Diceros bicornis minor: one gene and its partner. The protein of the gene in region 1 purifies or fractionates together with the protein of each later gene. This does not show direct contact. Links are inferred from orthologs where the notes say so. Each region holds a gene or a part of one and is shown in the gene's direction. Other genes may lie near its edges. The genes, in order: CLGN and TCTN2.

Region 1 (3,915 bases):
GCATCAATGCGTCAGGGTAACGGCCCATTTAGCTCTAATTCCCCATTTTTAAATTTTTAGCTTTCAGCTTCTTCATTGCAAACTTTCAATGGATCCTTCAGAAATTCTTCTCTAGCAAGTCAATCATATTTGTTATGGGCCACAGAATTACATTGAATAATAGAAGTTGGAAAGACTGGAGAAAGAAATTAAGAGGATAATATTGTTACATAGTACCTCAAATAAAAATTTTTTAAACCAATAAAATTAAACACTATATAAACATGCTTCAGAGGGTGACACTGTCAAAAATCTAGAAATAGTGGCTTTACTGCTGATGCAATGTGAAAAATATTCAGTGATCTTGGCATCTAGCCAATAACATTGTGCACAGAGCATCATCAATCCTCTCATCAGATACTCTTTAATAGGGGTATCACAAGTCAATTAAATATTTTATTCTTCCAATAACATTGAAATCATTATACCAATTTCAAAGTCGAGATTTACTATAAAATATAAGTAGTACAAGCTCCATGACCCAACATCTACGGGCAGAGGCTTGTGATTCAATACTATGTTTTTGCTGTATTCTTATTTTTAGCGCGTTGGTTAAAACTTCAGGCTCTGAGAGAGTTAAGCCTGGATTTGAACCCTATTTCCACCATTTACTAGTCAAAGGCTCGGCATGTAATTATTTTCAGTTTCTTCACGTGGGCTGTTGTGATGGTTAAACGAGAACAGGAATGTAAAACCCTTAGAGTACAGTGAGCACAAGAAATGATAGCAATTCTTAACAGCATTTCAAGAAGAAAACATAATGTATTTATTAGGTTAACATTTAATATATCTGTATTTATCGTACACAGCACATGAAATAGGAAGCCTCGCCCTGACCACAATGACCTCTCATCTGTTAACAACATACCGAACTCTAGGAAAGGCCTGGGGTACCAACTGGACGCTGTTCAAAAACGGGATTTACATAAAATTCAGGACCCAATTATGCGCAATAGGAGGCAGACCCCCACTGCTTGCAAAGAGGGCAACGCGCTCTGCGGGAAGGAAAAGTCTTGGGACTAATAACCAGACATTCCTCCCCTGCCAGCCCAGTCCACGCTACCATTGGCCCGCGGAAGCGGCGCGGCGCGCGGTGCCGGGAGCGCGCCTTACGGCGGGCGGGCGGCGGCATTCGTAGCGCAGGCTCGCAGGGCGGCGCCCCTCGGTGGCCGTTGAGCCCCCCGGTGCAGGTGCGCGCGGCACGCGCCTCGGGCCCCCGCCTCCTCCCCGCCTGCGGCCGCACGCGCATGCGCGGTTAGCAGTCGCTGCTGGGCGGCCGCCGGCGGGAGTGGTCTGGGGAGACTTAGGGACCAAGTGGCAGCCACTCGGACATCTGAGCTGCCACTGCCGAAAACAGGCCCCCAAGACAGGTGCGTGGGCAGTAGGCCACTTTCCGCTGTCCTTTGCGCTCGCGCTGGGGTGAGGAATCGGAGTCGTTGCTCCTTCCCCCGGGGCGGGGGTTCCTGGGCCGCGCCCCTTTCTTTGGCGACCCGCCAGGCTGAATAGGTTGGGGCCGGGTGAGGGGAGTGGATGTTGAGTTCGGGATGGGGGCGCAGCGAGCGAGGTTCTTGGGCGGGCTCTCGGCCTCGGGAGAAGGAAGGCCATCCTGGGCGGCGGGAGTTGGTCACCTCGGGGACGTTGGGTCCTCCAGAACTGTTGTGTCCTCCTGTTGCGCTGGGCTTGGGGCGGCCTCGGGAAGGCCAGGTGCCCTCCCCAGCCCGGCCCTGAAGACTTAAGGGGCCCCAGGGAGCCGAGTCCGTTACTCCAGCGGTTAGCATTTCAGCCCCGTTCCACGCTCGAGCCCCGATGCGCGCTCCCGAGGGGTGTGGAGGGGACCCAAGGCGCGTCTGGGCGCTGCTCACCCCACCGGCTACTTCTCACAGAAACGCCAACAAAAGTCAAAAAGGCTCAGCTTACGCAATCCCCACCTCTGTAACGGTGAAGGGACCCAACCCTCACAGCGATGGTGGCCTGTGACTCCTGGCTACTCCCTAGATGCGCAGTTTGAAGCGCGGTGTGCGTCGCTGGGGAGGGAGCGAGAGGGTTGGGTTGAAACCAAGGAAACCCTAATTAATAGAGACTCATTATCGCCTAAAGCCTGTTTACGATCAGTCAGTCACTTTAGCTGAATTTATTTATAGCATCTGCCCAAGCAACAAGGAAGAGGCATTTGCTTGGGATTTAAAAGCAAATGGCAACAAAGCTCAGAAGGGGGAGAGAGAAAGTAAATAGAATGGCCATGGGAAGACGTCTCAAATTAGAAGAGTTAATTTATATTGAAACTGATGCATAAAAGCCATCAAAACCCTGATCTAGTCTTATGATTTTCCTTGCTCTGAAATTTTTACATTATTCTTGGTCATTTAATCACTCTAGGTAGCCCTCCTTTTGGTAATTGTAAGTTTGACTTCTTTTCAGTTTATAATTTTGCCTTCACATCTAATTGGTTTGATCTTCCAATCACATTTAGACCTTATCCCTAAATTCTTAGAACAAGATAGTCTATATTCTTTATCTAGTTGATAAAGTTAATTATTGTGTGCGAATGATATGAGGATGTGATGGATCTGTAGAAATTGAACAGTGCAGTGTTTTCAGTACCTAATAAGTTTTAGTGCTCATAATTAGAAAGCTAGAATTGTCAACTTTAGTGGACTAGTTTAGATCATCTAGTTTAAAACTTTTCACTTGACAAATGAAAAAACAGGCCCAGAGCAGTTTTAACCCTTTGCCTTTTTCATAATAGAACTAGAAACTTAGTGTGATGTGCCAAGTTCAGTGTACTATTTATTATATCATTCTGTAGTTGAGTTTCTGAAGCTGCATGCAATTAAGACTTGAAATAGTGATTTTCAAACATGACTTTTGAGGCATACCAGTGTTGAGTCCTCAGTCAGCCATTAAAAATGAAGAGCAGAAAGGCATCTCAGTTGTAAGAAAGAGCATATAGAACAGCACAAATGTGTTAAATAGGTGAGTGTTGAAGGGAGTAAAAGAACTGAGTGTTAAAAGGGCAGAATTTATGCTGAGAACTACAGAGAACTATTGAACATTTTTATAAACAGAATAAGACTTGTTTTTTAGAAAACTCATGCTAGAGAGAAGGTGGAGGATGTATTTGTAGACTGGCAAGACTAGAAGTGAAGAGACAAAGTGGGAGTTTACTAATCCTTTTCAGAAATGATGGGTTCCTAAATTAAGGCTGTGGCATGGGGATAGAAAGGGACATTTAAGAAATACCCAAATGCATTTAGCTACCAATAACATAGGAGGTCAGTGAGAAAGAATAGTCTTAAGATAATGGCAAAGTAACTTGACTGGTTCACTGGATGTGCAGTTAATGGGAGAAAAGAATTGAGATAGAGAAGCAGGTTTGGGAGGAAAGACCAAGTTCAAATGAATGGAGGCTTTGCGACATCCTTGAAGATGGGTAGTGATTGAAACTAAAGTGTGATATCTGAGCTGTGGATGAGATTTGGGAGTCCTTAGCTAGCTTTTATAGGTAGAAGCCAAGAGTATATGTAATGTAAGAAGAGAGCCTGGGACAGAACCCTCAGATACAGCAACATTTACAGAAGATTAGAGCAAGTGCCCATGAAGGAGGCAGAGAAAAGAGAATCAAGAATCGGGAATGGTACCGTAGAAACCAAGGGAGGAGAGGGCTCCAAGAAGGAGGCAGTCAGCAAGGTCAGGAGGAGCAGTAGGCAACGGGACTGCCTTACTGCACTTAACAATTAAGAATTGGCTGGTAGGAACAATTTCAAAGAAGCTAGAATTAAGGAGTACAGGAATAATAAAAATATTAATTTTTCATTGCTGCCATAAATTACCACAAACTTAGCAGCATAAAGCAACACGTTTATTTTCTCACAGTTC
Region 2 (3,915 bases), on another chromosome or scaffold:
AATGATGTCTTTAAAATACATGACTGCGCAGTAAGAATGTAAAGGTCTAGAAAGGTAGAACTCAGTGAAAAGAAGGATTTATAGTACATTTAAAATAGCCCATGGCCATTAGTGTTTGCCTAAATTACTTTTTTATGTTTTACCTAAATGTAAAAGCTTTTTGACCCAAGGTCAGGTTCCTTTCAGAATGTTAGATTTGCTGATCAATTAATATATAATAAACATAAAGAGTAATCACGGCAAACATTTATTTGGCGTTGTCTCTTTGTCAGGTATAGTGCAGAACACCATACATGGATTGTCTCAGCTTATTGGCACACGCTCCTTCTGATAGCTAAGAAAACGAGAGAACTTTTATCCAGTGCTTACCGTATGCTAGGCATTGGTCTAAGCTCATTACATATGTCACCTCATTTGATTGTCACACAACCCTGTTTGGGAGGGACTATTATTTTCCCCTTTTTATCAATGAGGAAAATCAAGCTTAGAGAGGTTAAGTGACTCACTTAACAGCGTGCAAGGAAGTCAAAATCCCAAACCAGGCAGTCTGACCTCAGAGCCTGCCCTCTGTCTCCGAACTACAACAACGCTTGAAATGCTTTGAGGCTATTGACAAGAAAAACGAAATTTTTTCCAGGTAGAATTCTGATAACTTTTGCACCTGTCCTAATGCTGGGCAAAACCTTTTGTGTGTTCTGTGGCAAGATCTGCTTTGGGTGTGCTGAGAGCTCTGTGTGGTAAAAAACAAAACAAAACCAAAAAACTTCAAAAAAACCGGGAGAATAATAAAAACAATTCAACACCACAATCATAGCCCAGCGGCCTCACCTCCGTTTGGTCCCTCCCCCCAAATCCCCATAAAAACTCAGTTTACGAAGCTTGCAGGCTCGCTCTTGCAGTGTGACTGAATTAACTCAAGGCGCGGGGAACCCCACTTTTTAAAGTAGACGCGGACTCCCACTCCTTCCCGATCCTGTAGCGGGAGTGGAGGGGCCCCGAGGGCGCAAGGCCTGTGGGCGGGGCCGGGATGCAGCGGCTGGGGGCGGGCTCTCTCTGCCGCTGGCCCAATCACGGCGCGCCGCTCCGCCTGGCCGGCGGCCGATTGGTGGTTGCCATAGCTCCGGGCGCTCGCTTGACAAGATGGCGGCGGCAGGGCAGCGAGGGCCGCGTCTTGGCGCCTGGGGGCCTCCCGGCTTCTAAGACGCGCGCGGTTCTGTGGTGCGGGCCCCGCGCGAGCCCCAGGCATGGGCTTGCCGCCGGCGGCCCCTCTGCTCTTGGGGCTCCTCCTTCTGCAGGGCGTCCTGAGGCCGCTGTGGGGGGACCCGGGTGTGTACGGCGGGGCAGGGGCTGCAGGGCCGGGCTGAGGGGACGTGGCGTGTAAGGGGTCGGACTCGGACTCCTGCGGGAGCTCCGGAAGACGCCGCCAAGGAAGGCCACCACACGCTCCGGCAGGGGCTCTGCAACCATTAACTCCTCCCTGTCCCTTCCTTCCCGCCTAGTTTTCATCCCTCCTGTCATCCGCATGTCCGGCCCTGCGGTCAGCGCGTCCCTGGTCGGAGGCACCGAGGATGTGACCGTGTCCCTGGCCCTGCTGCCGGACGCAGAGGGTAAAGAGTCCGGCCCCTCCGGCTGGAGAGTGGGGGTTGGGCCAGGTCCAGGCCGCCGGAGGAGTCCGGCGAGGTGGCATCCTCAGGGTCCCCTGCCGCTGTCCCCTGCAAAGTCGGTATGGGGAGGAGGGATGGGGGGCCCTCTGTGGACCAAAGAGAACCGACGGACAGGTTCGATGAAAGAAAGCTTGAAATCGTAGTGGCCAGCATTCGTTGAGCTGTCCCCTGTGCTTTACACCTGTCACCTCATTTTTCTAATAAGAACAGTAATATCCTTTAATCCCATGTGACAAATGAAGGCACTGGAGTTCAGAGAGGTTGTCACTTATTCAGTCACACAGCTTATAAAGGGCCCAGCCCTAGGGTTGGAAAGGGATTCTGTCCTAGGGAGCCTGATTCAAGAGTGCACCCCCTTAGCTGCTGGGTGATACTGCCTTGCATTCTCATCTTCTCTCCCTAGGGTTATTGCCAGTTCCTTCTTGTGGAGTGCTGAACAATGAGACGGGAGACTGGAGTTTGACGGTGACCCCCAGTGGGGTAAGGCTTCTCAGTAGCATCTGTGGAGGCCCACATTTGGTGTTTCTACAGTGCTCTCTTGATTGGACAAGATGCAGCTCTCTCAGTGCCCGGAACTACCATGAAACTGTGGGCCAGCAGATCTAGTAGACACCCATCCAGCCCAGAGGGTCTTACTAGGGTTAGGGGTCCTTGGACAAGTGTCAAGCAGTCAGTGAATCCTCTGAAAGTGTGTGTAAAATTACATGTGTGTGCGTTTTTCTGATGAGATGGTCGCCAGCTTCCATCAGATTATCAAATGCAACTGTGACTCAGAAAAGCTTCCTAAACCGAAGGTCTCACCCAGCTCTGAGATTATGTGTAAAGGACACTCAAGCCTGGAGACATTAAATATCTTCCATTTAATAAATGTTTTATTGAGAGGCTAGTGTGTGCAAGGCGTTAACTCCGGAGATAAAGGATGAGAAAGACAGACTTTGCTTGCACCGCAGGAACTGGGGACTGTTTCCATTGACTTTTTTTGTGTCTTTAATCTGCTGGTAGGATGATAAAGAAACTAAAAAGGTGCTGTACAAAGTGAGTTAATTTATCAGAACTGTTTAGCTTTCTCTAAGTATCCAGAAGTCACTTGCTTTTCTGTTAAACCGAGGATTAGGAATCAAAGCTCGCACATTGCCATAGGTTTACAGGGTGGAATTGAACAGAATTATGTCATCTTTGTATACAATTCTCCTTTTGTAAATGAACGGTTGCTGATGTGTGCTTTTATCATGTTTTCCATTATGTGTCCTTATAATTATAGATGCTGTTTTGAGTCACTCTAAAAAGTACAGCAATATTTTCCTTTCAGAATTCATTGGAAGTGACAGTGAGGTTGAAGAGGAGTCTGCAATGGTGTTCCTCCAATGAGACAGATTCCTTCTCAGAGTCCCCATGTATTGTCCAAACTCTTCTGATTTCAGCATCTCACAATTCATCCTGTTTAGCGCATCTACTCATTCAAGTGGAAATTTATGCCAACTCTTCTATGGCCCATAATGCATCAGGCAAGTAAAGTCTTTGACTATCAAAACATTCACGTCAAGCGTTATCTGTCTGATTGTAAGTGTATACCATGCAATTTGTGTACTTCACTCTTGGGTCTGTCTTGCTTTGCTAAACTTATTTTGCTTTTGTTGAGTTTTCTTATTTTAAAAGTTTTCACTTTGTCTTATTTTACTTAAGATTTATTTTATCTTGCTCTACTGTTTGTATCTTTGTAAGCCACCTTAAATCTTTTTTGGGAGAAGGTGAAGTTTGTTTCTGTGTATTGATTCCTGTGACTCCATCTTAAAACAAAAAAACCATACACAAAACCAAAGGGAAGAGAAAGACTCATGAGTGAGTTTGTAGAAAAACAGCAGAGTTTTGGTGAAAGCTTTTGATCTCTAGCTCCCTTTCCTAAAGGCAGCCTGCTAACTTATGCTTATAGAAGCTCATATTCCCTTTAAACACACACACACACACACACACACACACACACACACTATAATAACACTCGATTTGCTATTCTATATGTTTTAAAAAATAATATAATGTAGAGATTGTTCCATATGAATACATGTAGAATACCTCATTCTTTTTAATAGCTACATAGTATTCCATTGTGTAGATATACCATTGTTTATTTAGCTAGTCTCTTAGTAATTGAATTTCAGTCATTTCCAGCTTTTGATACTATAACTAGTGCTACAGCAAATATCATTGTGCACTTATGTCTTTGGACATGAGAACATGGTTTTGTATTATTTTC

The links.
Region 2: the proteins of CLGN (region 1) and TCTN2 purify together in Homo sapiens (affinity purification with mass spectrometry; 3 studies listed by BioGRID and IntAct, with this or other methods). This does not show direct contact. The link is inferred for Diceros bicornis minor from reciprocal best matches to the Homo sapiens genes CLGN and TCTN2.

Annotation. Positions count from the first base shown.
Region 1 is NC_080750.1:30,748,458-30,752,372, reverse strand, and holds the start of CLGN (calmegin), read left to right. Parts: upstream 1-1,305; 5' UTR 1,306-1,409; intron 1,410-3,915. UniProt on the Homo sapiens protein: Functions during spermatogenesis as a chaperone for a range of client proteins that are important for sperm adhesion onto the egg zona pellucida and for subsequent penetration of the zona pellucida.
Region 2 is NC_080774.1:6,829,681-6,833,595, reverse strand, and holds the start of TCTN2 (tectonic-2), read left to right. Parts: upstream 1-1,172; 5' UTR 1,173-1,244; coding exon 1,245-1,326; intron 1,327-1,499; coding exon 1,500-1,607; intron 1,608-2,067; coding exon 2,068-2,144; intron 2,145-2,973; coding exon 2,974-3,169; intron 3,170-3,915.